2 linked regions of the Schizosaccharomyces pombe genome follow. The gene in region 2 interacts genetically with the main gene of each other region. Each region holds a gene or a part of one and is shown on either strand. Other genes may lie near its edges. The genes, in order: caa1 and fkh1.

Region 1 (11,237 bases), on a different chromosome or scaffold from region 2:
AAAAAAAAAATAAAATAATAAAATAATTATTATGAGCAAGGCCGATTTTTAACATGACGACAAGTTCCTTCCTATTGTTAGTCTAGGCAACCTATTTTTGGTGGCTGTAAAAAGTGTTGAATGTCCGACTCAACAGTCCCTTCCCAAAGTGTACAGATAGAAAGAAGAGCAGCAAGGGTAATAATGGGAGATGGGGTTTCTGCACAAATAGTTGAATTTCCATTTACCTAACTTGGAGATCAGAATAAGGACTAGAGAATGAAGTTGCTTCAAGGAGTCGGTTTATCTTGCTAATAGAAAAAGTACTTAGTTGCGAAAAGATTGCATCATGGCGATAACATCTCAAAAATCCGACATTTTCATTCTAATCGTGATACAGGTAGTAGTGATTTGAGGCAACTTTTAGTTGTGAATTGCTCATCCGTCTGAAGTGAAATTAGGAAGTCTTCTTGGCTTACGATTGTCATGTTAGCCTTAGTATTCGCAAAATTACTGTTACATGTGGAAATGACTAAATTTCTCATAGAATTACATATGCGTTCGCACTTTTAGCTAAGCGAGTGGCAGTCAATGAATGATATACATTTGGCATGTTAGCGGATGTGTCGCCTTCATGTTTGCATACTCAAATGTACAATAACGTATGTGCATACGGGAACAATAATTTGGTTATACGTGCATGATTGTTCTTATAGTTAGTTAGTTAGTTGAAGGAGAAACGTTTGGCGATGGACTTGGCTACAAAAAGTTATTGTACCGACCTGTCCAGCATTCATCATCAGTCCTTTGAGTGTACGATATTTGCGCATGGGCTTACTGATAGAGAATACTACCTACAAGTAGGTATTATATCTTTCATTAAAGACATAGTAAATATCTGTCATTTAAAACAGATATTTTGTATATCCTCTAGTACGTATTGTTACTTTACTGTAATTTGCAGTCGAAAAAATTAAGGAAATTGAACAACACAGTTCTAATGTATAAAAGTAAATATGGTGGAAAGTTTAAAGAATATTAAGGTTCGCTTAGTTTTCTGCTCAGCAGGCAACCGCAAAGCGAAAATAGGCATTGTTTTTATTCTTATACTTACAAAAGGAACGGAAACTGTAAAGAATACCGAGTAAGGTCAAGAATTTTTTGGTTTCTGTTTTTGTTTTCTTCGCTTTTACGTGATTTTAATTTAAACTTTTGTATATCATTTATAATTCAGTCATGTCATTCCCCAACCAAATACATAAGGTCAGGATGTGAGTGTAGTTCGGTAATAATGTGGGTAAAAAATCGTTTCGTTCCCGTTGTCACAAAACGATAATTCGGTCCACCGATTCACCATAGCTGGTCAACATAAATCATCTGCTTCGTTAGATTTTTTAGTAAAAGCAAACTCAATTCCTTTCGCATATAACTTTAGGCTCACCCATCAAGCTTGATGTTGGGTTCTTTTTTGTGAAAGATGTTTTCGGATTGGCGAATTCAGCCAACTCGAGATTTTCTTCGGAATTCTATCAATCCTCATCTCATTCAGCAGGTATAATCAGTTGAATCGCTATATCTTCTCCATTTTCATCTGAAGGTGTATCCAGACAATTCAATGTTAGTCTATTGGTTAAGCAGTTATCTTTTGACGAGCAAAAATTGCTTGATTTTGCTGAACCTGCTTCAGAAAAATTTGGTAAATTTGGCAATGAATGAAGACCCGTTGGATTATTGAACAATTTTTTCATGTTACACTCCATCTCGGCGTTGAATTGGCGACATTTGCAGAGATCTAGCAACAATTGGTTATAAAAGTCACATTCCTTTTTGGATGAAGGCGGATTCTTAAAGATTGCACCATCACTATTGTACAAAAGCAACGTCGACTCTGGTAGTTTACCGAGAAATATATTTTTTTTCATATTCAAATAGAGATGGATTGGGAAGGCATAACCGTTTGAGCCAATACAGTGAATCATTGCAATCCAACCGATGTCTGCTTCAGAATTAGCACACTGAAGAATTTTGTCAAATCCATCAATTTCATAAGGTAGATTATTTTCCAATAGCGGCTTACGAAGCTGTACGTATGACTGAAAATTCGACGAACTTACTACAATGCAGTTACATGTCGAGCCAAGAGCAAAGATATCCCTCGGATTTACCAAATACATGCGAATATTTCCAATTTTCTTCTGTACAGCTAACTTTTGGACAGTACTGTATGCTTCTCCTGAATTGTTTACATAATGCTCAACTGCTGCCCACAAGGCTTCCTGAAGACTTTTCGGGTAATATTGATAGAGCATGACATGATGAATCAAAACAGTTAATGGAAATTCGCCCGAACGTAGATAGTCGCACAAATATTTAAATAGAGCTTGATGATTTCGAAGTAGATGCGAAACTGCTGTCTGTATACAAGAATGATTATCGATCAAGTGATAAACCTGATCAGGAAGGCAAAACCCGCTCTCATCCATTTCATAACCAATTTTCAAATAGACACCACTAAACGTATGGAAAACATAAGATAACCAACCATCATAAAACAAATTTGGAATGTCAAAGCGATCTGGCAGCTCGAATTCTTTTAACTTGAGAATTTTACATGTACACGGTATCCACGAAATTGAGTCTAAAAGTAGAAAATGCGTATTGTGAGGATATTCAATATCTGCATATGTAATCGCAGCCATTGGATTTTCACATTGGCATTTCATACAAGCCAATTGGCGCTTATTTCGACGCATGCATAAAATTAGAAATTTCGATATTTTCAGAGCGAATTTGTGAAGTATTGTTGAATGAAACTTGACAACATTTGCATTATAGTTCATGGAAAATAATAACTATGTTTGCATAACACTAACAAGTATCAGAAATTATAGTTATAGGGAAACCTCAACAGAAATTAAGCACTTTACAATATGCCAAAAGATCCAGCTTGAACCAGCTGGCAAAAAAAGTAAAAATGCTGCGTTGTAGGATTAAATCAAATTAGTAATGAGAGAGGTAAATCATAAAATCCCATCGTCAAGAGATTACGAGCAATCTAATTTTGAAGGAAAAAAGCCCGCAAACAATAAATGATGCCAAAAATTCGCAACCAAGTAATGTAAACAATAACACAGCTGAGCTACTGCGACTTATGTTATTATGCTACCTATGCTATTTCCATCACTAAACCAAACTGTTACTACCGCAATTAGTAAAACATTGATGGCGGCTAAATTTGCAGTTCTTTTGCTTGACTTATCTCTGAAAATTTAATGCATGGATAACATATCTGAACCCCAAACATTCGTTTTTAACGAGCCTATGCCAACGTACCTTAACACTTTCAATAAGAAAAAGCAAAACTTGATATCACGCTACATAGCACCTATAATTCATTACAAGAAAACATAATTCATTAAATAACGTAAAACAGCTCTAGAAACAAAAAACTTATATGAATACCAAAATCAGACCAAATAACTCAACAAGACGCTATCGCGTTTCAGTGCTTGACTCTTTGTATTTGTCGATCATCATATTTTGGGAAAAGCTACATTTAATAATATGCTAACTAAAAGTAGGTCTGGCTTGATTCGAACAAGCACTCCGACAGAGTAAACCAAATTTTCAAACCTTTTTCTTTAAGGAAAAAAACCTTTGAGCACGAGACTAAGCCCCATTGTGATACATCAACAAATGGATGCGACCGTATAACTATCAACTACGACGAAAAACCACAATTCAGAAATGGCGTAATCAACCATACCGTTCGTACACTAGACGCTCAAGAAACACAACTCATAGACTGTATTCCTTATCTACTCCATTCTGGACAAGGAGTTATATCTCTTGAGGTTTAAAGTACAAAGGCTAAAGGAAAAACTAGCGCCATTAATGAAACCGCTGATTCTTCAAGTCAGCACGTTACCGCCTGTCCCAATCTCCATGGAGATCAAGACGCAAGAGTCCGGGGACTTTCCCTAAAGCTGTTTAGAGGAATAAAAATTCCTGTATGACTGCTTCAACCACGATCGTTCGAGCTCAAAGGTATCATTTGGAAAAATTAAAGTGGAAACAGTGGTATATATATTACTGACTATTTACGTGACTGTTTATAACCCTAACCTGTTTTTGGATTGAATAGATCTGTTGCTCTGCGATTCTTCGACGAGCAATTGACCGACATAGCATTTAATACTTTCAGTATATCAATGAGCAATGTTCTTAAGTGTTATCGGAGCTGTAGTAGCATATCACCTTGTAATAAAAAAGTTATTGACAGAATCCCTCATTCATAACGACTACACTGAATATCATTATTTATGAATTGTGTAATATAATGTCTAAAATAATAGTATACTGGCGACGTTATCTTCAGTTAATTTATCAAAAGTATGATACGCTAAATGGGAGAATGCATTTCAATGGCTGCCTTAGGTCAGAAAGTTGAGAATGTTGAAAGGACACAGCGCCAACTTGATCTATTTATGATAGTCCCTTTACTACCTTCCTTGAATCCAAAGTGTTGAACTTAGTTTACTTCTGCTCAAATTCGTCTTCTTCAAAGCCTTCATCCCGTAGAGATGTTGACTTCGTGGAGAACAATTTCTCTACTGCAGAAAACTACCAGTCGCTTCATTAAGCGATCAAAGACATATGCTGATGTACGTTATAACAGTCAAGCATTGCAAAATCATGGAGTTCCTGGTAACAAACGTAAATGGATGAAGAGGTTCGTATTTGTTGGTGCTGCTGGAATAGGTGTCTACGCTTGGGATCGAGTGTATAATGCCCATGCACTTACCCGTAGTATTAGAACAGTATACACCGCTTCTATAATTGCGGCTGACTATAAGTTGAATTTCAGCGAAAAAAAGGCAGACAAAATTGATGCTTTGCACCAAAGAGTAGCACAGAGACTGTTTAAAACGATTTACAAAAATGGCGGTTTATACATCAAGATGGGTCAAATCATTGCTATGCAATCAAATAATTTGCCTGAAGCGTATGGGAAAGCCTTTCAGGGAATGTTTGACAATGCACCTCAAGTTGAATGGGAAGAACTTCAAGACATATTCAAAGAGCAATATGGAAGACCAGTAGAGGAAGTATTTGCCAGCATTGAGAAACGTGCTGCTGCAAGTGCCAGTATTGCGCAGGTACATCGTGCTGTTTTACCTAGCGGTGAAAAGGTCGCGGTAAAAATTCAAAAACCAGATGTTGCTAAGCAAATGTCGTGGGATCTTCTCGTGTACAAATACATGATGTATGTTTATGATAAATGGATATTTCATATCCCTCTCTACTTTACGGTTGATTATGTCTCGGAAAGATTACGTTCTGAGGTTGATTTTACAACTGAAGCTAACAATTCGGAACATGCTCGTGAAGGGGTAGAAGAAACTGATTATTTAAGAGATAAGATATATATACCAAAGGTTTATAAAGAGATTTCTGGAAAGCGAGTAATGGTTACTGAATGGGCTGATGGCATTCCCCTCTATGATCAAACTGCTCTTTCTGAAGCTGGGATGAGCAAAAAGGAAATTTTAACGAACCTTTTCAGATTCCTTGCCTTCCAAATGTTTCATTCGAAACAAGTTCATTGTGATCCACATCCTGGAAATATCCTTGTTCGAAAAAATCAAGCAGGCTTGTGTCAAACGGTAATTTTGGATCATGGGTTATATGTATTTGAATCAGAAAAGTTTAGAAAAGAATTTGCCTTGCTTTTCACTGCAGCCTATTCATTAGACAAAAAATCTATTCTTCAGGTAATGGATGCTTGGGGGATTGGACAACCTGAGCTTTTTGCTAACCGCATGTTAAATATTCCAATGGATGAAGAGCAACCTCACACTGGTGAAAAAATTATTTCAAAGAAAGAGGCCTTCCAACAGCAGCTTGCTGAACGCAAAAAGTTCATTGGCTTCTTACAGGACTGCACTCGTTTACCGAAAGAGCTGTTAATGCTAGGTCGCTGCTTAATGCTTATTCAAAAAAATAACCAAAATTTTGGGTATCCAGTGAATAGTATAGCTGTTATGGCCAAGGTTGCTGATAAATACACTACCGACAAACCTAGTCCAACTTGGTATCAACGGCTGTTGTCGCCTATTTTTTGGGTCTTTCAACATTTATTTTACCCTGGAAATTTTCGGTTGCCTGAACTTACTAATGATAAAAAATGATATTTATAGTAAAGATTACTTTTCTTTATGGAAAGCCAATCTTTGACCATAATAATATAACTTCACATATTGCCTACTTTTCTCGATAAGACACTTCAGAGCTCCTCCTTGTAAAAGTTAAGCTCCTCCCTATACGAGTCAAACTTTGTATCGTTATTCACTATTACAGTACATCAAGCTCGGTATCTTATATGTCAATGAAGTATACTGATAATATAGTGATACTAAACCGAGTGATAAATATATATATATAGTAGATCAGTAAGGTTGAAATCTACCTACCGCATATTTAACCACAATGTCAGACTACGGGTTTGCAAATATTGAGGAAGCTAAGGCAGATGCAATTTTTAAATTAAATGCTCAATACCATCAGGATGAAGATCCCAAGAAGGTTAACATGAGTGTTGGCGCCTATCGTGACGATACTGGTAAGCCTTGGATTTTGCCTGCAGTTAAAAAAGCATCTAAAATAGTGGAAGAACAGGCAAGCTTCAACCATGAATATTTACCAATTGCTGGATTGCCTCGTTTCACTAAGGCTGCGGCTGAAGTTCTTTTCAGACCCAATCCTCATTTATTGTCCGAGGACCGTGTTGCATCTATGCAGTCAGTCTCTGGTACTGGTGCCAATTTTCTTGCTGCTAGTTTCATTGAGACTTTCTATGTAAAGCACACTGGAGCCCATGTATACATCTCCAACCCTACTTGGCCTGTCCATCGCACTTTGTGGGAAAAATTGGGAGTCACTGTAGATACATATCCTTATTGGGATGCCAAGAATAGATCTTTTGATTACGAAGGCATGCTAAGTACCATTAAATCTGCTCCCGAAGGAAGTATATTTTTACTTCATGCTTGTGCTCACAATCCTACTGGTATTGACCCCACTAGGGAACAATGGCTTTCTATATTCGAGAGTCTGCTTTCTCGCAAGCATCTGGTAGTTTTTGACATTGCTTATCAAGGTTTTGCCAGTGGTGATCTGAATCGTGACTCTTGGGCTCTAAACGAGTTTGTCAAATATAACAAGGACTTTTTCGTTTGTCAGTCATTTGCTAAAAATATGGGTCTTTATGGTGAACGTACTGGTTGCATGCATTACGTTGCAAAGGACGCTTCCACTAAAAACAAGGTCTTATCTCAATTGTGTATTGTTCAACGTAACACCATTTCTAACCCTCCCGCTTACGGTGCACGTATTGCTGCCGAAATTCTTAACAGTCCTCAATTGTTTGCTGAATGGGAACAAGATTTAAAGACTATGTCTTCTAGAATCATTGAGATGAGGAAACGTCTTCGCGATTCTCTTGTTGCACTCAAAACCCCCGGTTCTTGGGATCATATTACACAACAAATTGGAATGTTTTCTTTTACCGGTTTAACGCCTGCACAAGTCCAATTTTGCCAGGAGCGGTACCATCTTTATTTCAGTGCAAATGGTCGTATTTCTATGGCTGGTTTGAACAATTCTAATGTAGAGCATGTTGCACAGGCATTTAACCATGCTGTTCGCGAGTTGCCTTAAACTGATTATTAATACCAAAGTCACATAGATAAGTATTGGATTCATGAATACAGAATTTTGGATTGTTGTAAATTTGACGAATTTAGGAACAAATTCTTTAGCAATTTAGAGAACTAGTATATGCATTTATTCTTTGAATTTTTGAATAATATGAAGTTATCTGTTCAACTCATACACCGGGACTTCTCCTTTGTGAGTTAGACATCAGTATTTGGCTCATTATTTGCAAAACAAGTTGATATCAGTTTGTAATCGGATATGTTTAGACAAAACTGAGAAAGAGTTCTTTTTTAATAATTCATAACTTGCAAATTGATTAATGACAGAGTATTTGAATTCTTTGTTATATCGAGGTTTACTACATTAATATAATACAACTTTTAGCAACTATTAGAGCCAATACAAAGAAAAGAAGTCAAAACTTAAGTAATACAATATGAGTATGATTTTCTTTGTTTTACTTCCCTATTGTGTCAACTATAATTTTAAGCAGGAAATTTTGAAAATATCCTAATAACTCGAAAACCAGGCTAAAGCAAGGAATATCCCTCTTTGCATAAATTTTATTTCTTCTCGTGTCTTTCCTCCAATAATTAATAATTATAACATCTCTAAATGTGTATGAGTTAGTTTGTTAGGACATTTTGACTCAATAATTCTTCTCGATAAATTTAATAAAGAAAGTTGAATTCACATACCTGAATTTAATATACAATCATGGGGAATTTACATACGTCAATAGCTGTAGCATCTATTTGCTTAACCAGCGCCTTTCTTGGTTGTGTTTTTGGTTTGGGATTTTTCGTATGGATTATATACGGATATAGTATTGGAGGTTTTTTTGCATTTCTGAGTCTTTTTCATCTATTAGAGTTTTACATTACTGCTCGTTTTCAAGGTAGTCAGTTATCATGGGATTCTTTCATATTGAATAATGGCAAAGCCTACTGGTTAGCGATGTTAGTCGGCCTTTTAGAATGCTTATTAAGTGGCGGAAAAAGTTTTGCTAAGGTAATAAATTGCTTAAGATTTCCGAGCTTCTTAATCAACTTTATATTTTCGGTATATCAGACATCTGCTCTGGGATTTCTTTGTTTGGGACAATATCTACGATCCTCTGCAATGGTACAAGCCGGTCAATCTTTTTCTCACATTGTAGCTAGTAAAAGAAATAAAGATCATTTGCTTGTCACTGATGGGATTTATGCTTACGTTAGACACCCATCATACGTTGGGTTTTTTATCTGGGCTTTGGGCACTCAAATGTTGTTAGGAAATTTTGTCTCAACATTACTATTTTCTCTAGTTCTTTGGAAATTTTTCTCACAGCGAATTACTACCGAAGAAGCTTACTTAGTTAGTTTTTTTGGTGATTCTTACGAACAATATCGAAAGAAGGTCCCATCTGGAATTCCCTTAATTCCATAGGTTCACTATTATTGTTATTTGAATAGTTGATAAAAGCATACTTAAATAATTTGTATCATCATCAAAGCAGCTTTTAAAGGTCTGACTATACAAATCTCATAACAAATTATTTTTATAGCCTTTTTCTCCTTCAAGGCTAATAGATATCAATTGTCCAAATAACAGCGCTTTGTCTTGCAGAATTTTAAAGATGTTTTCGTAGCTCCGCTAAACATCGAAGTGCCATTAATATGATCAGCTAATCTGAAATTTTCTCTTAAAAAATAATAGTCTGTTTACTTTTGAACCACAATAATTCTGAAAAGATTTACTGCTTAATCATTACTATTCATAGCTATAGTACTCTTAACAAACATTTCTTCTTCTTAGTTTTCGTTTATGGTTTTAACTATATTATAATTATCGCTTCAGTCAACTTTATGTAAATAAAGAAAAATAGCGAAAAACAACTGCAATATTGTGCAATTTATTTGCTGTAGTTCGCAAGCTCTCATTAATATGTGCTACATGCGCTCACTTGCTATATTTCAATTTCGCCGCAAGCATACAACTCTGCTTCACAATCAATTCCTTTGTATTAAAGGTCCTTTTGAAAAGTTTGTTGGCCGATATATATATAAATATATATCTATCCTTATATATCTATATAGTTTCTTTTCCAGTGGAGTGCATACAAGAGGAATACAGTTTTACCGCGTGAGTGCGGTGATGGAATTGTTGCAGCAGTGGACTCAGCAAGCCAAAGCAGCTCTTACTCAAGCCAGGCAACTGTGTGGTGATGCACATAAGTTTAATGAAGATGCAAAAACTGATTTGAGAAATTCCATAAAGCAGCATCAACAGCTAAAAGAGTTGGCGAAGCTCACAGCATCTCAATGTACTCGTTTAGACTCTTCAACAGCTCTTATTAAGCAGTTATTAGATCTAGTTCAAAATTATCCAACATTTAATCAATTAAACGTCCTTCATGATCGATTGGAATCGTCACTTAAACGTCTTCGTGACTGTACATTAGATCCAGCCTTAGGAAGCGAATATACCAATCTTTATGCATTTGTAGATGATACTGCATTAGAAGATTTGAAAACCAGGCTCCGAGGCGTAACTGATGGTGTTTGGAATGCTTTCGAAAAGCTAGCGGGTTTACTGGAAGAAGATTTGTGTGCCAATTATCATAAACGTTTAGAAGCTGTTTCATTAGACTTCTTACCTCCCGCTTATAACGATACTGCCGAAGAACTTGCGGATTTGCTTTTGCAAGTTGCTCAACATTACGATCAATGCTCCGAAGCTCTCAATATTTATGACACCCTTTCTGATGCGGAGAAGAAAGATCTCCAAGAAGTGCTTCAATCAGACTCTAATCATGTTCCTTCGGTATTGACAGAACTTAGGAGTGGATTAGATCAAACAATTCATTATTTCAACGCAGTTCAAAGTTATAAGTCAAAGGTAGATTCGGCAACATCGATTTTGGAAGCCTTGGCTGAGGAGTTAAACAAAAACCAGTTGACTAATCAAAGGCATGAAGCCGCGCATGAGTTAATGAGGGCGCAAACCGGCCTGGAGATTCCGCAATTAGCTCAAGAACTCGTGCAGCTTGAAAGACATTACACACATTTTGCTAAAGCGTATACCGCTCTCCTTCAGGAAATTCACAGACGACAAACCTATGAAAATTGTGTAAGATCCATTGTGGACGAATTTGTGGGACGCCTGGAGAAGGAACAACAGGCGGAGGCGAAATGTCGTATCGATTTTTTCAATCAATATGGTGATTATTTACCCCAGACTCTATGGGGAGCTGTAACAGATCCTCCTTTACATTTTGAAATTATAGAGCACCAATATACAGAATTGCCAAACGTAAAGGTAATTCCTGATAAAAACGATAAGAAATCGAAGCAACGTGAAAAATCTTCTACTACAGCCTCTAAGCGATGACCCTGTTAGCCATATTTTACGATTTTTAAAGTCTATAAACGTATAATGATTTTAGTTATGCTACTAGTTTATGAGTATTGTATAGACTTTTCCAATAAAGATAATTATATAAAATAACCGTAATTTTTTCCCCTGATTACTTTTTTCTTCCAGATTGTTTTAGTTTG
Region 2 (10,764 bases):
TGAAGGCGGAGAAGGGTCTCCTAAAATGATTGAAATGCGTAGGGACGAGTTATTAAAAGCGCACTGGTTTTAAAAGTTCACCCTAACACTCATGTACAATCTGGCGTTAGTTGGCGCGATGGATGATTTTTTGGTTTTTCGATAATGTTAGAAGGTAGATGATGCTTGGGTGGACTATTTAAATATTTGCAATTCTCTTATTCATTAAATTCATTTTCTTTCTTTTACATCTCCTTCAATTAAATCCATGCATTATTTTCTAACTGTTTAGGCTGGAATCTCCTGTGAGCATGTGAATTTTCCTGAAGATATTACAGAATACGACTTGCTGCTTGCCATCAAAGGCTTCAACGAGGACCCTACTGTCCACGGTATTATTGTACAGTTACCTCTGCCTGCTCACATCAATGAGCAGATTATTACAGAAGCCGTCGCTCCCGAGAAAGACGTTGATGGTTTTTGTGAAACTAATTTGGGAAAATTGACCAAGCGCGAAGGTCAACCCTTGTTTACCGCATGCACCCCAAAAGGTATTATGTGCATTTTAAAACATTACGGGATTAATGTCCAAGGAAAGCATGCTGTTGTCATAGGCCGTAGCAACATTGTTGGTCGTCCAATGTCCATACTTTTGGAAAAGGCAAATGCCACAGTTACTTTATGTCATTCAAAGACGGAATCTATTGCTGATATTGTTAGGACAGCTGATATTGTCGTTGCTGCCATTGGTATTCCTCATTTCGTCAAGGCTGACTGGTTGAAAAAGGGCGTTGTCGCTATTGATGTTGGTATCAACTCTATTCCAGATGCCACCAAGAAGTCTGGTTACCGTCTTACCGGCGATATTGACTTTGAAAATGCCAAGGAGGTCGCCAGCGCAATCACACCTGTCCCTGGTTCTGTTGGTCCTATGACCGTAGCCATGTTGCTGCAAAACGTGGTTGAATCAGCTGTTCGCTTTCGCAAAATGTCTCGCAAGCGTAAACCAACTCTTCTTCCTTTAAAGCTTCAGACCCCTGTTCCTAGTGATATTGAGATTGCGCGTTCACAAACCCCTAAAAATATTGGTGACTTGGCTTCCGAAATTGGTATCGCAAAATCTGAATTAGAATTTTATGGATCCCATAAAGCCAAGGTCAACCTTGAAATTCTTCAACGTCTGGCTCATCGTCGCGACGGCCACTACGTTGTAGTTACTGGTATCACTCCTACTCCATTCGGCGAGGGTAAAAGTACACTTACTGCAGGACTCGTTCAAGCGCTTTCAAACTTGGACAAGCTTGCTATTGCATGTGTTCGTCAACCCTCTCAAGGCCCCACATTTGGAATTAAAGGTGGTGCTGCCGGAGGTGGTTATTCTCAATTCATCCCTATGGAGGAGTTCAATCTTCATTTAACTGGTGACATTCATGCAATTACAGCAGCTACCAACTTGCTTGCTGCTGCCATCGATACCCGTATGTTCCATGAAAACACACAATCCGATGCCGCTTTGTATAAACGTTTGACTTTGGTTAAGGGAAACAAACGAGAGTTTGCACCCGTCATGTTCCGTCGCTTGAAAAAGCTTGGCATTGATAAAACTAATCCTGAAGAATTAACCGAAGAAGAGCAAAGAAAATTTGCTAGGCTGGATATTGAACCTTCAACTATTTCATGGAATCGTACTTTGGATGTTAACGATCGCTTTCTTCGTAAAATTACTATTGGAGAGAATCCTACGGAAAAGGGTTTCACTCGCCAAACCGGTTTTGATCTTTCTGTCGCTAGCGAATGTATGTCTGTCTTGGCCTTGGCTACTGACTTGAAAGATATGCGTGAGCGATTAGGCCGCATGGTTGTTGCCAGCAACAAATCTGGTGAACCTGTTACCGCTGATGATTTAGGAGTTGGTGGTGCCTTGACAGTCTTGCTCAAAGACGCAATTAAACCAACACTTATGCAAACGTTGGAGGGTACTCCTGCTCTTGTTCATGCTGGCCCTTTTGCAAATATCAGTATTGGTGCCTCTTCCATTCTGGCTGATCGCATTGCCCTCAAATTAGCGGGTACCGAAGTGGATGAGGATGCTAAGAAAGAAGCTGGATATGTTGTAACTGAGGCAGGATTCGCTTCCGATATCGGAATGGAAAAGTTCTTTAATATCAAGTGTCGTACTTCAGGTTTAAAGCCTGATGCCATTGTTATCGTTGCAACTGTTCAAGCATTGAAGTTACACGGCGGCGGTCCTCCTGTTGGACCTGGTAAACCTATCCCTGAGGTTTATAAGCGCGAAGACGTTGATTTGGTTCGTAAAGGATGCGCTAATCTGGCTAAGCACATTAGTAATGCACGTAAGTACGGTTTACCCGTTGTGGTTGCAATCAATAAGTTTTCTTCCGATTCTCCTAATGAAATTAGTGCCATTCGTGAAGAAGCCCTTGCTGCCGGTGCAACTGATGCTGTAGACTCTAACCACTGGGCCGAAGGTGGTAAAGGAGCTCTAGGTGTTGCACGTGCTTTGATAAATGCTTGCGAGAATGTGGATTCTGAATTCCGCCTCCTTTACGATGTACACGAGCCCATCGAAAAGAAGATTGAAATTATTGCGAAAGAAATGTATGGTGCTGACGGCATTGAATTGAGTCCCTTGGCTAAAGAACGTCTTGAAACGTTTACTAAACAAGGATACAACAACTTACCCATTTGCATTGCCAAAACACAATACAGTTTATCGCACGACCCAGATCTAAAAGGTGCCCCTACTAATTTTACCGTGCCAATTCGTGATATGCGTTTGAGTGCTGGTGCTGGATTCATTTATCCTTTAGCAGCAGCCATATCTACTATTCCTGGATTACCTACCAAGCCAGCCTATTACAATATTGATATCGCAGAAAATGGTGATATTGTTGGGCTGTCTTAATTCGCCAATGCCTGTCTCTATCAACCCCTTTTGCTTTGTTCTGAGAACAAGGCAATGGAAAACAGTTGTTCAACCAATAGTTTTCTTGTTTCTTTCAAATATCTACTATTAAAATTTAAGCTCAGAATGATCGACATATACAACTCTAGCAAGTGCCGTATATGCCTATATTTTCAGGCCCATATTTAGTATTAGCAATGTTAGCATAATTTGCTAGTTCATTGCATGATACTTATCCTTTTTGGAGTAAAAAACGTTAAAAAACTGTTGCTTCTTTGACAATCGTATAGAATTCCTGTTTTAACTTTCATACTGTTCAACCTAATGAAATAAACCGATCATACCATATGATTTTTTTCTTGATGGTTTAGTTGAAAACTGAACGTGTAATTTAACTATTTGAAATACAGTCGGAGAAGTTTGATTCAACTTATGAAAGTGAAATTTTTCAGAAGTAAATATTTCTCTCTTTAGCAGTAATCTATTGATCGTAGGCATCATTATCGCTATACGAAATATATCATAGTGCAAGAAAATATAAGATATTAAAAAAAAAAAGATATATTTCTAAACTGGGAAACGTTATTATACTTAAAACACTAAAAAAATTGTGGAATAAGTAACAACCGCTAGTAAGATGCATGTATCATAAAAAGCGAAACACTAGCATTTAAGCCTTCTTATCATTGATAGCAAGCAACTCAACATCGCTATATAGGTTAAAAATAAATCACGAAAAATGTACATTTGTACTTACAAAAGAAGAGTGCTGTTAGGAGGAATCAATCCAGGGAAACCACGTGGGCCATAGCCATAATCAGGAGTGATAGTAAGCTTAGCTTTCTCACCCAAACTCATTTTGGGTACTCCTTCGTCCCATCCGCGAATTAATTGACCAACGCCAATAGTGCAAACAAATGGGGATCCACGGTCAACAGATGAATCAAACTTTTTACCATTGGTTAAAGTACCTATCCCACGGTTATGTCAGCAATGAAATATTCGTTTTGGAAAGGAGAAAACAACACAATATAAAAATTGATTTGCTAGAATAATTCGTCGTAGATTTCACATACCGGTATAATGCATGGTGATTCTAAATGGTGTTAGTAACTGCATTTAGAATAAAATTGTAAGCAAATTCACTATAGACCCTAAGAAAAGGAGAAGCAAAGCTCCTTTGGTAACAAAGAGTTAAAGTGAAATCACACATTAAATACATACCTGTCACCAGGTTTGGGAAAGTCTTGACCATTTCCGGACTTTTTTAAAGGTTAGAATTTGTATGAAAGGAATAATGTAGAGACAAGGACATCAGGAATGTGACAAATTAAGGAAATGCAAATCAGTGGTGAACCGACTAACACGGATGAATTGTTTACAAACATAACCAGAGAAGATATTTGTAGATTCAAAAGAAATTACCGATTTTTTCAACACTTACAGAAATAACTTGCTTTTCGACACCCATATTTAACAGATTTCAAATAAAATAAGTGGTTGGTTAATGAGCAAACCCGAAAGTAGTAATGGAAGATGTATATGGAATAACTTGCCCAGTTTACCGCATTCTTTCATTCTGTGATGTAAACTCGTTATGCACTTCTCTATCCGGTTTACCGATTAGTAAACTGAAAATTCCTTACTTATCGCTATACCATGTACTCTAGTATTATTCATTCTGCATACTATAACTTCTTAGAGTGGGTTTAACAATATATCAAAATACACCATCTGACTTTATTCTAGTCGCACTTACATTAGTTATTACATTCAAGTAGTATAATAATAATTGCTTTGTCTTATTCGTATAAGAAAACAGCATATTGTAACGAAGCACACACCACAGTTTACTGTTTTCTTAAGTAAATACTGAGCTATGTAGCTGGTTTGAAGCTTGTTTACCACTTTTCGTTGATAATCACTATTCAATAAACAATAAGAACTATAAACCTTTATTGAGAAAATAGAAAAAAGAAGTATTCTTAAAAACAAAGATTAAAATAAGGCGCACCGAATATATTCGAACAGTAAGTTATTTGACACATGTAGCTCTCATAGCAGTATTTAATAATTTGCTTGTAATCGTATCAATCATCCCGAAATTCAAAAGAAATAGGATTGTAAATTACGGACACTCAATAATAAAATTTTTATATAATACGATGGAATAGAATGAGCAGCACAATTGTTTAACTTAAGTACTGAGTAAATATATGGACTCTTAATGTAACAAATGAGGGTAAACGCACAATTTAAAGCATATTTTCTAATTTTATTGAAACGGATTTTGATGAAAGCTAATAAATAACTTTATAAATCTTTTTTAGTTGAACTGGCGATCTAGTGGTTAATGAAAGGCTGGGACATTCAATTAAATTTCAGTTAAACTTATTGTCAGAACGAAAAATAAATTGTTCATCGTAAGAGAGTTATAAGATAGATTTACTTTTATTTCCGAAAACACTTAGTACATGCTGTGAAATTAGCATGGAGGATGAACAGAATGGCAATAACCGAGTACCATAAATCATACTTCTCGTAAAAGTATGGTTTGTTTGATTCAATCTTTATTATACAGTATCCTAATCAAAAAGCTCTCAAATATAGTTTGGGTGTCTGTAAGAAAAGCATATTTCACTTCATATTGTTTTGGTATACCTATATACTAAATAGAAAATCAATGCATTTACCAATTTTTTTAGCTCGACAAGAAGAATCAATAGTCAGAATAGAGTGTTGAAATTGTGAAAACTTCGTTAATACGCAAACAATATCATATGAAACGAGCATTAAAATTTTAATGCTGCTTAAACAGATAATTACAGAATAGCAACAGTGAATCTTTTCACTAGTATGACTTTATTGTCTTTTGTACGTTCAGTCCCAGTGGTCGTCCACTTATTGGAAAGGAGCTTTAAATATGAAAACAATATTCCCTTCATTTGAACATTATATGATTTTGGTAATCCCATTTCAAATTCTTTAAACGGTTTCTAAAACATGCAATTCATTACCATTGATTATGGCTATGAGATGTTATAACGCAATTGTTAAAACCAAATATTCACTATTTTAATTCTAAGATCACTTCTCATTTAGTTTAAAGAAAAACAAGCAAGGATTTTCACACTGAAGGGTTACTTCATTTAATAAAATTGTAAATATTCTTTTACAACTGGATCGAGCTAGAAGATTCAGAACTTTTATATGCAGCCTCCATTATTTTTTCTACTGCCAAAACTTGATCAGATTTGATAGGAAACTCGTTAGCTTTTTTTAAGATTTCCTCAAAAACCGCATCGTAGAAGTCCCGGTAATTTCCCTGAACAGTAGGAACCGTAATTTTAGTTGGTTCAGGCAAAGCTTTCACGTCAGCATCCAAAGGAACAGTCCATAAGTTTCCATAGAGCTCAAATCTATCAGTTCCAAATCCATGATCGTTAGGCTTCATTCCTGAATGTAATTGTGACTCTTGTGGGTCAAACCCAAATTTCATAAAAGAACCACGAGTGCCCTTAATACAGAATCGCATTTCACAGCCGCATGACACATTAGTAGAAGACAGAATTACGTTGATTGGAAGTTTGTTTCCTTTAGCAGGGTAATGAAGAATAATACGAAAATAATCTTCCACCTCCAAAGGAGGAATTTGACGTTGAGCTTCCAGCTTGGCAGTAACAGAGTAAGGCGTGCCAAACAAGGAGACTGCTTGATCAATTAAATGTGAGCCTATCCCGTACACCATTCCGTTCCCGGGTCTAGGTTCATCTTTCCAACTTCCAGATTTTCGACCCAGACGGTATCGATCAAAGTGAGATTCGAATTCAACAACTTGACCAAGTCTTCCGCTTTCTATTATTTTTTTAGCAGTCAGAAAATCACCATCCCACCGACGATTTTGATAAATTGCCAGTAGTAGGCTTTTTGATTCGGCAAGTTCATAGAGCTCTTTGGCTTCCTCATAGGTAGGAGTAAACGGCTTTTCACAAACCACATGCTTACCAGCGTTCAAAGCTTTTTTTACAATTTCAGAATGAACATTGGGAGGTAGGGAAACTACGACCAACTCAATATTGACGTCGGCTAATAATTCATCCAAGTTTGTATAAACCAAAATATTGGGATATGCAGAGCGTGCTTTGGATTGTGTAACTGTTGCCCTACGTTCTAAACATGCATAAATTTCAAATTTTGAAGGTAAAGCTTCAAGGAATGGGAAATGAAAAACAAAAGCTGACACACCAGTTCCAAGCACTGCAGTCTTAATCGGAGGCATAGTTTAACTTAATCAAAGTAATGATTTGTAAGCTGTAGAATACAGAAATTTTTTTAATACGAGAAAATATCGAACCGCTAAAGGAAGAATTTTACTAACGACAGTGTAAGCATATGATCAGATATTAATAATCGGTAATTATAAAATTTTAACCGAATGAAGGGATCCATTTATCAAACATAATCATCATTTAGCTAAACATATGCTAAAATGCATTCATGTGAATACTTGAAAGAAAATGTTTGAAATCAGTCTATTTTACGAACTTTGATTTTAGACATACCAGTTACGCTTTTTTATTATAACAAGAAAGCAGTAAGATTTCAATTAAAAATTCAAGTAATAAAAAACTGATTTTTGCTAATCAATCTGGAAAAGGTTACAGAGTCAAAGTGGATGAAATAAACTAAATTTAAAAGTAGTTTGTTTTCGACAGCTCGATTACCTAACAAAGATCGCTTATTAGCATGTCATTAAAATATTAAACACTATAACGATCATTAGGTTGAGCTTGTTAACCATAGTTATCATAGCTTTTGCTTTGTAATTAATATCATGCCAATATTTCCTCTTATAAAAACGGGAATTTTCGAACAAATAATGTACATACTATGGGATAAACAGTCATCTACTCAAAGATATTTTTATAACATTGAGCTTTAGCGTAGTTGATGCCTAAGATCAAACAAAGTAATGACTTATGGGAATTTTGAGGAAGTAAACATTTGAAGTATCTGTTTAAGTGCTTCTTCTAAAATTCTTTATTGCCTGCCTTCTTTCAGAATACAAAGTATCGCCTTAACAATTCACTTCGGTTTTACTATTTGAATGGTGTTCGCTTAGATGAGCTTAAAAATTTTATAGAGTTTATTAATTTAAGGCCTTTACTGCGTATGAAGATAGTTTTTCTTTTTCTTTTTTTTTTTTAAGCTAATGGCATCAGTTTATATTTCTGAGCCAACTTACTACCCTTTTTTTTAAAGTAATTAGTGAAAATTTAAAATATCATTCATGAATTCACATGCTAAAATAGCGAATACATATGCCTTATTTTATCTACTAAGAAGCTTTCAAAGTTCTTAACTCAAACATTTCAGTATTCCTTATTATCACGTTTTAAGAATTTCCCTCCTTTTTTATATATCATTTAACAACATTTGTTACACATACAAGATCATAACTTCATGCAGTAGCTGTGTGTAAACACTAGTATATTAATATATAATTCATTTATTTGTTTGTGGTCTACTAAAGATAAAATAAAATAAGAATAAACATAAGAAATATTAATAAGCCAAACCAAATAATCACAAAAAATACGTATATAGGCGTTTTATAAATATCTGCGTTTTGCTGGAATAATAGTTATGAAACTAATGAACGGAATTCAACTAAACATACTCTACAGCACCAATTAAATTCACTATCGATACGAACTTCTTTCTTCGGGATTTCCTTAAAATCACTTAACATCAATTGTCAAACTTATTAACAAACTGAAGCAATACTTGATATTGACCAAATTAATATTATTCTCGTACTTTTTAATTGAGTACAAAAAATAAAGTTGCCATTGTTTGTTGAATATACAAAAAATGGAAAAGAAATAAATAATACTTTAATAACATGAGTTCCAATGTATTATTGAAATTCCATGCGATTAACTTTTTTACTAATATACAGAATAACTCCACCTATCTGGGATCGTATGGAAGTATAGTTGCTTATACTTAGTTCCATTAAATTTAAAATTTTTTAAACAAGAAATTTTTTTATTAAGAACAGGTTTCTATTTACCAACGAAATAGGCTTGACTTACTAGTTTCAGATTAACATTTGCTCATGATTAAGACAATACGCAAACGCATATACCGAAATCATCGCAATTCACTATAATAAAAGCAAACTGCACTGCCGAACGCTATTCAGAGGCAAGAATAATCATGCATCTGTCCAACGATTTATATTTATTCACTTAAAAACATATGTCTTTAATCACTAAGTACGTCTTGTAGTTGACATATTTTCTTTCTAATCTTTTGCTTTTCATCTACAATCGTTCTACAGCTTTATATCCACTCTCACTTTATCATTCCTGAATGAATTCACTAATTGATCAATAACCACTTTTTTTCTTTACTTTAGTTAGCTTACGAAACATTATTTTTGTTCAAAAGTTTGTATTTAATTTGGTCATATCATCATGCTGCAAGTGCTTCGTGTTTCAGCTCCTTGTTTTGCTTTTGTTGATACTATAGGAAGCATTGGAGTTTGCAGGGTAGTTCGCTTTACCACATTTCATAATACACCTATTGAAGTATACAACAAGAAAGTTAATGACGGCGTATGGAAACGTGACCCGTATCAAGAAACAGCGGTTAAAGCAATCAACCGTTTGTATACCGAATTGGAATCGTATACACAACCTCCAATAACGCAAGATAGTATGCCAGCTGAAAAGGGATCAATCCTATCTTGGATATCCCCCTTAAAGAAAATGTTTTCTAGGAAGAAGTCTCCCACTCTAACTTCTTCTTTACCTGTACCGGGTATGCCTAAAGGTATATATCTATATGGTGATGTGGGCTGTGGTAAAACCGCTTTGATGGATCTATTTTATCACAACTTACCACCCAATGTTACTCGTTCTCAGCGCATTCATTTCCATGCATTTATGATGCAAGTTCATCGCACTTCACATGATTTGCAAGATCGTTATGGGTTTGAGATTGATTTTATAGATCATATTGCATCCGGAATAGCAAAAGAAACAACAGTGCTATGTTTTGACGAATTACAGGTAACCGATGTCGCGGACGCTCTTTTACTACGCAGACTCTTTGAGGCCCTTATGAAGTATGGTGTTGTTATCTTTATTACTTCTAATAGGGCTCCTTCTGATTTGTATAAAAATGGAATACAAAGAGAGAGCTTCATTCCTTGCATTAAACTTTTGGAACATCGTCTTCAAGTAATTTGTTTGGACAGTCCAAACGATTACCGACGCCTAAAATCTAAAACAGAAGATACATATCTTTATCCTGCTAATAGCCCAGAAGTTAAGAAAGCCTTGGAAAATTGGTTTCTTTGCTACGCTGATGAGAAAGATCCTGCTCACCAAGACGAAGTTGAAGTATTTGGGAGAAAGATAATCGTTCCAAAAGCAAGTGGCAACGTTGCATGGTTCACCTTTGAACAATTATGTGGAGAACCGAAAAGCGCTGCCGACTATCTTTCATTGGCAAGCCGTTACCATGTTTTCATCGTTTCAGACATTCCCAAATTGAGTATCGAGTCGAAAGACCTTATCCATAGGTTCATTACATTTATTGATGCCCTTTATGACACCCATGGAAAACTCATCTTATCATCTGAAGTTCCAGTTCAAGAAATATATCCGACAGCACCTTCTGAAGTACTTTCCTCTACGGCTGATCCTGCTGCCAAGGGGAAAATTGAATCTCACTATCATGGAGCATTTGGTGGGATTGAAGAGGTATTTACCTTCACGCGTTGCTTGAGTAGACTTTCAGAAATGAAAAAACAATCCTGGATTCATTCTCCTTAATACAAAGGTGAT

The links.
Region 1: of fkh1 (region 2) and caa1, a mutation in one rescues a mutant of the other (synthetic rescue), as found in Schizosaccharomyces pombe (one study listed by BioGRID).

The regions. Positions count from the first base shown.
Region 1 is NC_003424.3:1,227,249-1,238,485, reverse strand, and holds caa1 (aspartate aminotransferase), read left to right. Parts: upstream 1-6,446; 5' UTR 6,447-6,468; coding exon 6,469-7,698; 3' UTR 7,699-7,846; downstream 7,847-11,237. Other genes in the region: SPOM_SPAC10F6.15 (uncharacterized protein), read right to left, coding at 1,521-2,819; SPOM_SPAC10F6.14C (ABC1 kinase family protein), read left to right, coding at 4,563-6,170; protein-S isoprenylcysteine O-methyltransferase Mam4, read left to right, coding at 8,416-9,126; autophagy-associated protein kinase activator Atg17, read left to right, coding at 9,835-11,070; rio1 (RIO family protein kinase), read right to left, coding at 11,207-11,237. UniProt on the Schizosaccharomyces pombe protein: Plays a key role in amino acid metabolism.
Region 2 is NC_003423.3:628,267-639,030, forward strand, and holds fkh1 (FKBP-type peptidyl-prolyl cis-trans isomerase Fkh1), read right to left. Parts: upstream 4,412-10,764; 5' UTR 4,377-4,411; coding exon 4,350-4,376; intron 4,168-4,349; coding exon 4,130-4,167; intron 4,002-4,129; coding exon 3,982-4,001; intron 3,877-3,981; coding exon 3,663-3,876; intron 3,616-3,662; coding exon 3,576-3,615; 3' UTR 3,431-3,575; downstream 1-3,430. Other genes in the region: C1-5,6,7,8-tetrahydrofolate (THF) synthase, trifunctional enzyme Thf1, read left to right, coding at 272-2,905; SPOM_SPBC115.03 (gfo/idh/mocA family oxidoreductase), read right to left, coding at 6,078-7,184; AFG1 family ATPase, read left to right, coding at 9,388-10,752. UniProt on the Schizosaccharomyces pombe protein: PPIases accelerate the folding of proteins. It catalyzes the cis-trans isomerization of proline imidic peptide bonds in oligopeptides. Has an important role in sexual development and serves as the target for rapamycin action.